2 linked regions of the Drosophila melanogaster genome follow. The protein of the gene in region 2 interacts with the protein of the main gene of each other region in a pairwise test. Each region holds a gene or a part of one and is shown on either strand. Other genes may lie near its edges. The genes, in order: CG14965 and HLH4C.

The links.
Region 1: the proteins of HLH4C (region 2) and CG14965 interact in a two-hybrid assay, tested with the Drosophila melanogaster proteins (2 studies listed by BioGRID).

What each region holds. Positions count from the first base shown.
Region 1 is NT_037436.4:3,189,967-3,194,436, forward strand, and holds CG14965 (uncharacterized protein), read right to left. Parts: upstream 2,526-4,470; 5' UTR 2,465-2,525; coding exon 791-2,464; 3' UTR 656-790; downstream 1-655. Other genes in the region: CG14958 (uncharacterized protein), read left to right, coding at 28-48, 154-570.
Region 2 is NC_004354.4:4,644,340-4,649,309, reverse strand, and holds HLH4C (helix loop helix protein 4C), read left to right. Parts: upstream 1-1,895; 5' UTR 1,896-2,003; intron 2,004-2,867; 5' UTR 2,868-2,942; coding exon 2,943-3,446; coding exon of another isoform or gene 3,447-3,518; 3' UTR 3,519-4,183; downstream 4,184-4,970. Other genes in the region: torsin, read left to right, coding at 1-625; mRpL30 (mitochondrial ribosomal protein L30), read right to left, coding at 721-1,135, 1,216-1,343; CG3062 (uncharacterized protein), read left to right, coding at 4,526-4,552.

The sequences.
Region 1 (4,470 bases), on a different chromosome or scaffold from region 2:
TCGCACCAGATCCCCGCAGTTGTTAAGATGTACAAATTACTCGGTTTGGTAAGTTAAAGAAACCCTTAAAACAGTTCTTAAACCAAGTTGCCTTTGGATTTTGAAGGTTTGTGGCCACAAAGTCGTATCTCAACATTCCTTATATCATTTCAGATTGCCTTGGTGGCCTTTCCAATCGCTTGGATCCAGGCAGACTGTAATGTATGCCAGTCAAATGGAGCCTCCTGCATCAACCAGACCGCATACAATTTGTGCTTCGGCTCCACTCAGCCGAATACCAACCAAACCTTCGTCTGCACGGATGGCCTGGTGTGCACGGACCAGCCAGTGATCTGTTTCCAGAGGGGCGAGAATCCCGCCAGTTGCGGCGACACTGATAGCTGTGGCCAGTGTGCTCCCAACTACACCTTCGCCTGCACCTCGCGCTCAACCTTCGCCTTCTGCTTTGGCGCCATAACGCCCACAAATGTGACGGGCAGTTGCCCGGATGGTTACTTCTGTGACGCCTCCACCCAGGAGATCTGCGTCACCAAGGCCACTGATGACTCCATCATCTGCCACTTGAATTAGCCTCGCTAATTATTGGATATAAATAAATGATTTTGCCTAATAATATATTGCTTTTGTTATTAAATAAAATTCGTTTTGGGTAAATGGATTTAAAAGCGTTTTTTATATACACCTACTTTATTAGATGCATCGGAACTGATGTTATGCTTAAAACTAATATATAAAATAATTTATCAGTAAAATACCCCTTATATTGCCAAGTCTATAATGGCAAAATAAACTATAAGTCTAGAAACTCTTCCGAATTTTCCGTATTTTTTTTCTCCAGCCAGGAGCGTGCAATCCGCATCGAGGGCAGGCGGAAGCGCCACTCGTCGCAACAGTACTTGTACACCTCGTCGCCCAGTTGAAGTAGTTCGGTGGCAAACTCTCGCTCGTCATCCTTCCAAGTGCGTTCCTCAGAGCCGCCGAACATTTCCATGCGCAGCAATGCGGCCATCGTGGGCCCCACGTATTTCTTTATTGCCATGTATAGCTGGGGTTTGCTTAGAGAAAGAGCAGTGGGTTTGATTGCAGCTGAAGTCCACGGGGACTCCGCTTGCAGTCGTTTTAGTTTGGCATTCTCCTCAGACAGCTTTTCAAACTCGGCCTGCAGTTTATCGTACTCCTGAAGAAGCTTATCGCGATGGGCATCTTCCGATGAAGATGGTTTTTCATCTGGTTCAGACTCGTCCTCACTGTCAGTACTAAGTGGTATGTTCTCTTCAAGGTTTAGAAAAGATTCAGATAAGGTTTCGGAAATGGAATCACTCTGACTATTTTCTTTGCTAGAACTAAGATTAATTTGGATGGATTGGGTGGGTTTCTCCAACATCGGAGTCTTCTGCTCATCCCAGAATTTCTCTTGCAATTGTGTATATCGGTTCAATATCGTACCGTTCTCAGGTGAAGCGTGGGAGTCAGTCTTTTGTGCTTCTTGGGGTAGCTTCCTTTTCTTAGCCTGCTCCTTGGTGGATTCATCTTCGTTCAGTCTATCAGCATCTGCCTCCTGCATCCCACGTTTTCTAACCACAGTCCCTTTAATTGGTCGGTACTCTTTTCTAGTTGGCACTTGCTTTTCTTGACATTTATCGGCAAGCTTTGGCATTTTCATAACGTCAATAATACAACTTTTTGATTTAATTTGCTTTTCTGATTCCTTGGTGACTGTTCGCATCTTGCTTGTATCATCAGTTTGTTCTTTTGGGAGCTGCTCTTCAAGCTGAAACAACTCATTCTCGCTTCCTGATTGACGCTTTACTGGTCTTTTAATCAATTTGATGCCCAATGAAGGCTGAAGTTGACTTATGATATCTAGAATGTTTTGAGGCATAGCCGAAGCGCTTGTTGATGTTGTAGAACTCTTATGCGCCACCGTTGTTTTCTCCGTGTGTACAACCGGCTGTTCCTGCTCCGTAGCCAGCACTTCGTCGGCTTCGTCTTTCCCTTGCGGTTCCTCCTCTTCTGTCAACTCTACTGTATTTCGTTTCTTAACAACATCCAAATTCTGTGTCTCACCATCCACGAATCCCAGAGGACACTCGAAATCTTTAGGTGGTATTAGGTGTTGCTGCTTTGGAGGCGTCAACTTCACGAGAAGAGCTTCACCGTTCTGGTCGAGATTTTCATAGTCTAGTGCCAGATCCCTGTTGATCCTGAACAAAGTGGGCGTCTGCATTGGGATGAGTCTGTCCATTTTGTAGTTCATGAAGCATTCCGCTCGAAAGTGCCGGGCACAAACTGTTTTGGCTGCCAGTTTGGACGGCGGTGCATTTGAAACGTCAGGGTTTGAACAATTCCTGACCCAATCTTTCAACCTCTTCGGATCCTTAACGGGGAACTTGAAGAAGTGCATATTGGGGTTGCGGCTAGAACCCACCGGACAATCACGAAAACAACACTTAGTGCCGCCCATTTGTTTAAATATAAGCAAACAACTTTTATGTTATTAGTGGTGGAAGTGTTAGCGTCAGCTGGTGATATCGATGGGAGGCATCGATAACAGAATTGACCGAAACCAAATGATCGATATGACACTTCTTAATTAATGAGAGATTTTTTACTTGACTGGGCTTGTAGCAGGTTTTGCACAGAAGCAATTATTTTCCGGAATGTGAAATGTCTGCTTTTTAGCTAATTACAACAAAAACTTTCCAATTTTTGTTCCCCAAACCCACTCAAGTGATTTCAAATTTTACCGTCCGCTTAAAATGGAACTAGTTTATTCCAGAGGAACCAGCTTGCACCACCAAGTCTCTGAAACTCTGGAAATATCGATAGTCTGGTGGAGAAAAGTATTCATAAATATAAATAAAAATTAACAGGTCATAAGCTGATTTGTTTATTATTTACTGTTAAAACAAGTAAAATAATATTGGGAACAATTAAATTTTCCATTTTCCTAATTACAGTATAAGCCTAGTGGGCGTTTTGATATCCAATTGTAATGTTTTAAGCAATCCCAGTGGGCTTTGCTCAATCGTTCGGACCACTTAGACGAATTTCCACCAAACTTAGTTCAGTATAATTTTTGAATTCGCCCGCACAGGTTGCGCACTTTTCGACCGTATCACAACACTGATCTACCCTAGTATTCACAGGAAGTTGCATCCCTGGCATCCAGAAGCCTCTAGAAGTTTCTAGAGACTTCCAGTTCGGGTCGGGTTTTTCTATAAAAGCAGACGCGCGGCGTTTGCCGGTTCGAGTCTTGAAAAAAATTTCGTACGGTGTGCGTCGTAACAACAAGCAGCGTCTGAAAAGTTTTGTGAATTTCCAATTCTATACAAAGCAAAGTGAAAATATCTGTATTTTTACCTTTATTCTGTGAATAGAACGAAAAACATACATACAAGGTGAGTAATGCAAATTACAAGAAAAGAGTGAATAGTTTATCAGTGGCTATGGCCAAAATGTGCATTTTGCGTGGTCCTGTGCATCTCGAATGTTCTTGACCCAAATGTGAGATATTGATTTTAAATTTCTAGGAGCCAAGTTTAAGAATTTTTTTTGATTAATTAAGAGGTGGCAACGTGCAAATTAACTCAAAATGCCGGTTTCTTTTATTTTTTGTCGCTTGGACGCATCTTCCAGAGGTTTCTATGCTTTAGCATGAATTAAACATCGTGCCAAATAGGCCTTTTAATTATATATTACTGTCCTTTATTTACAATTACATGTGGTTTATAGAATACAAGATTAATTTTTGTTTAATGCAATGGTCTTTTAGCGCTAAATCGAATTATGCCGCTCTTTTTAGGGGGTGACAATGCGCAAATCACATTTGCCGCTCGAGAATGTTCTAGAGGTTTCTATGCTTTAGCATGAATTAAACAGCGTGCCAAATAGGCTTTTTAATTATAAATTACTGTCCTTCATTTACAATTACACGTGCTTTCTTTGCATTCCCATTTTAAATTGCACATGCCGCATACGCACACATGCACGCCCATGACTAATACTTTCAAGTAAAAATGTGGCGTCAGTAAGCAAATTCTGTTAAATCGGTTTTTTAATCCTATTTGCTCTATTTTAATTGGTTGGTTGCTACTAGCAACTTGCTAGGCGAATTAGTTTTCCTTTGGCTTCTAGATGCTTCCACAAACTTCCTTGGTGAAGTACGAATTTTCAATGCAATGCTCACTCACACAGACACGAGTTTGCACACAGCAGGGGTAGAAAAATTATCAACCGACCCAATTTGCATAATTATATTTAAATATTTAAATTTAAAACATTATTTTGCAACTTAAAATCAATTCTGTTGGCTAATTGAAATTAAAATTCCATTTTACGGGTTGCAAAGTGAATGCTATAATTTTGACCACCACTGTACTTGTATATGCGCATGTTAAATGAGGCATGTGCAAAAGAGAAAGAAAGAAAAAGAATAAAACCGGAGCAGCTGCTGAAAATGCAGCTGCT
Region 2 (4,970 bases):
CTATGTAACCAAGTATCTCGGACAAGCTGACTTTCCCAAGGAAAGTGAGGTGTCTAACTATAGGGTGAAAATCAATAATGCGGTGCGCGATACCTTGCGTAGCTGCCCGAGATCTTTGTTCATCTTCGACGAGGTGGATAAAATGCCCAGCGGAGTATTCGACCAGCTCACCTCGCTGGTGGACTACAACGCCTTTGTCGATGGCACGGATAACACAAAGGCAATCTTCATCTTTCTCTCGAACACGGCGGGCAGTCATATAGCCAGTCATCTGGGTAGTGTGATGAAGAATGGTAGGCTGCGCGAGGACACACGACTGAGTGACTTTGAGCCCCTTTTGCGGAAGGCCGCCTATAACATGGATGGCGGTATGAAAAAGACCACCATGATTGAGTCTCATGTTATCGATCATTTCATTCCGTTCCTGCCGATGGAGAAGGCGCATGTGATCAAGTGCCTGGAGGCGGAGCTTTTAAGGTGGCGGCGCGATCCTAAGCAAGCGAACAACCAAAAAATCATTGAGGACATAATAAACTCCTCCATTAGTTACGATCGCACGCACAGCTTGTTCGCCATTTCGGGCTGCAAGACGCTGGAGAAGAAGGTGGCCATGGCCATTTACTGAGAAAGGACCGACCGACTCCACATTTTAATGCTTAGTTTGGGTTTCGGTTTGTATTTAAAAAACTATTTTTTCGGAATAAAGAAAACAAATTTTAACTACCAGGGATTTAGCCACTTGAGGCGGGCATCTTTGCGCAGCAGATCGGTATCCAGTCGCTTGGGCTGCTCGTCGTAATCCTGGCGAGCCGCCAGGCGGGTATCGATGGGTCCCAGGTCCTTGGTTACCAGGCACTCGCCGTTCTCCTTGAGTATCGTATGCCGGACATCCTGGGCAGTGGGCTCTCCGTAGGGGAACGTGACCGGCGTAACCTTAATTAGATGCTTGATCTTCCACAGGCGGGCATTGTTCTCCGGTATGTTCTTGACGACAGTAAAATCGCTCTGCTTTCCGTCTAGTCCCAGATCTTTGAGGATTCGATTCTCCCAGTAGGGATTGCCCTTTAGCGGCTTGATGCGCTGCACCCGGAAAAGTTTCGCCGGCTCCACGGGTGGATCCTGGTGATCGGGAGTCCTGAGCGGGATAGATTTAGCATTAACAAATGCTGGATTTCGTGTGTTTTCCTTTTATACACTGCACACGTGAATACGAACCTGGGATAGTAGGTGATACCCTCAAATTTCTGGCCATTTTTGTAGAGGAACTTCTTGTTGTGCTTTCCGTAGCTGCGCACCGAACATGCGGTGCTCCTCAGTGGATTCAGCAGCCTTCCCAGGTTCATCTTAATTGTTTTCCCCCCTTTGTAATAAAATTAAATGCAAAACGCTTATGAAATAATTGATGTTTCCCCGACGATAACGATTACACAGACATCTGGTTAACTAGTTGCCTATCGATGGGCAGCATGGATACTGCCGTTATGTAAACCAATGTTAACCGCTTGCTGTTAAGCGATACAATTCAAATGCAAAGGCGGCAAAGTTAAAAGTGATAATTTATCATGTACAAACTGAAGATAATTTATCATTTACAAACTGAAGATAGCGAAAACATTATCAATAAGATGGTAATATATATTCGTTGTTTTTTTTTTTAATATTTCAAGAATTAGTTGAGAAAAGAAAGTTTTTAGGTCATCGGATTACACAGCCTCCAGGGGATGATGTCCATTTCTGGAAAGGGGCGGTCTCATATCAAAATCTCCGCCATTTTGTCAGCTACAATTGGCGCTAATCGACGAGGGTGGATAACTTGGCATTGGCTGGCTTTCAACGCAATGGGGTTGTTTCCGATTTTGGTTATAAAGGAGGCTGCAGCTTCCCGACCGGAAGTCAGTTCCACGTGAGCATCCATCCGGCGAGCAACCGACTCTAGTGGCAAGCAAGGATATCTGCCAGACAACTCAAGGATCTAGAATAACTCTGCACCTGTGATAACTGCTGTAAGTTCAGGCAACAAAGCCCAAAAATTGTGAGCAATGCAAATGAAGTGAATGTACTAGCGAGTAGAATAATCAAATTAAAGATACAAATAGCTGAATGAAGTCTCTAGTTCGTTTAAAATTATATCTAGAAATTTGTTAATTAGCTAACTTGACCATGTGCACGCACTCGACATGTGTAAGTGTACTGGAGTTTCATAGTCTTGAGGGGACTTGAGTTACACGACAAGTTCTTAAAACTAGATCGGATTTCCATCATCCCATGGGATCAATAGACACGTCTTCGACTTGATGCAATTCCAGTGACACTTTTTGGACCCAAAACCCATTAAATCAATAGATATAAAATCATACGTTAACCGCAACAATACAAAAAAGGGTGGCCAAGCCTAAGGGGTTGGCATCGCTGAGGTTTGCCAACTCCCGCGGGCAAATAAACGTGCCGATTGTTCAGCTATTTGTGTAGGTGTGAAAATATGCTGCGAATAAACAATACACGCACAATGCCGACAATAAGCACAATAAGTACAATAAAAATAAATGAAAATAATAGCAAACGCAAACAGAATGCAGCGAAAAAGGGGTGTGTCCTTCATCGGCAAGGACGACACACACACACACGGACACCCTTCATCACAAATGTCCACAAATGAAGCATAAATAATTCGAGTGCAAGGATTATGATTTCTTCAACGCCTATTGTAACCTTTTTTTTTTCAATAGCATGAGCGCTCCACCGCAAAGGTAGCCACACTTTTCGTCTTCCTTGAGTTTGAAATGCAGATCTGTGAAGCAATCAAGTACACATTTCGTTGTATTCATAGTCTAAGCTGTGCATCCTCTTGCTTCCATTTCCATTTCCAGCATTCAGCAGCAGGCTGGGCAGCGCAAGAAAGTCCAGTGTCCAGCACCGAAATCAGTGGTGCAAATAGCCAGAGAATGGTCTACGATATGAGCCATATGGCGGCGGGTCCGCCGCAAAGCATTTCGCTTAGTCGCTACTATCTGGTCGACGATGATGAGATGATTGGGCCAAATAATCCGCATCTGGTCAACGAGGACTATGCGGCCAGTACGACGCTGGATATCGATAAGCGTTTTCAGGCGCGAATGGCGTGCGAAACGGCCGCACAACCGGCACCGCCACCGCCGCCCACGCCGGCGCCACGTCGCCGGACCACGCCCATTGCCCATTTGGATCCATCGGAATTGGTGGGTCTATCGCGGGAGGAGCGGCGTCGTCGCAGGCGAGCGACACTCAAATACCGAACGGCACATGCGACGCGGGAGCGTATACGGGTGGAGGCATTCAATGTTTCCTTTGCCGAGCTGCGCAAGCTGTTGCCCACATTGCCGCCGGACAAGAAGCTTTCCAAGATCGAGATCCTCAAGCTGGCCATCTGCTACATTGCCTATTTGAATCATGTGCTGGAGACGCCCTGAGATAGCGCCGGCGCCTCCAGTTTCGCCACCAGCTGCCTCTTTAACGAGGCCAATTTTTTCGCCCCCCCGTAGGAGGTGGGGGGGCGTGGCGGGCGGATTTAGGGGGAAAACATTGCGAATATTCCACATCCGATAAACGCATTTCACCATGCTCTGTAATCCGCACATCGCTCCATTGGATACTTTGCCGGTGGCGGCTATGGATAATGCGATTATCGAATTAGCCATCTCACCAACTTAACCGAAGTGTTCGATGGATTTTGCCGATTTGCTAACCTATTTAACCTATGGTTAAATACATACATTTTTTTGTTTTTTGTTTTTTTTTTTCCTTGCCACTGTTGAAAGACAAATGCCCGTCGTTTCGTTTCGATTCGTTTTTTTTTTTAGGCTTAGGTTTGTTTTCGTAGAAACAATTGTAAAGCCACGATTTAACCTAAGGTTAAAATATGCCCGTACTAAATGTAGAAGATATAAGCTATTAGTTTGTGTAATTTAATTGAAAAGTAGAAATATCGAAGGAAATAACAAAACTAAATATGCCAGTAGTACATACAATTAAATTTATGGGAAAGCAGTGCTTAATCCTCGGAGTAAACCTTGATCATGGTTTATATAATATAAATAACCAAGAAAAAAAAAACAGAACCTTAAACTAAGATCCATTTTTTGTCTAGCCTTTAAGTCGTGATATTTGTTTATACTCAAACGATTAATATATACAGCATTGTAATCGCAATAAAAAATTGTCTACTTTATGTATTTTGGCGCGCCTTTGCACGACACTCCCCTCGACTTTTGGACACCAGCTGCTCTGACTGAGTTTTCCATTTGTCTGAACGCTTTGCTCGGAAAAGCCAGATGCTAACAGTTCCCCCTTTTTCACCAACCTTCAAGAACCACGTATCCACGTATCAAAAGCGGGCGTGTCCTTTGCGCCAAGCCCCGCCCATTTGTGTAAAAGCGAAGTAGAGCAGCCTCTGTCATAATTTTCAAAAATTGAGGATACATTTTTATTTTTTTGTTTTAGAAACTGTGAAAGCGTCACGGAAATTTCGACTTTTGTGCAAAATTTCGAAATGGCCCTTCATTTTAGTGCACAGCAGGTAAGACAAATTTATTCTAGTCGATTGGGAGGCTGTTTTCAATATCCATAAATAGTGGCCTAATTTGGTTGGTACGGGTAACGGGTATATATATATATACATATATATATATTTGTGTGGATCCATGGATGTAAACATTTTCGCAATAATAATAACAACAAACGTGGCAATGGCAACCAACTCGATTCGGCGCCATCCTTTTCTATCCAGTGAAAAACGACTCCTGCATTCCGACAATCGGCTGTTTGTCCCTGTATGGGTGCTATTTTCATGGGTGTGGGTGTACTGGCGTTCATAAACAAAAACAAAGGCCAGGCGACAAGGAAGTTTTGTTGTGTGCATATTTTAGTTTTTACCAGTTATATATTTTATTCTTTATTTATATTTTTATATATTTTAAATTAACTCATTTTGAATG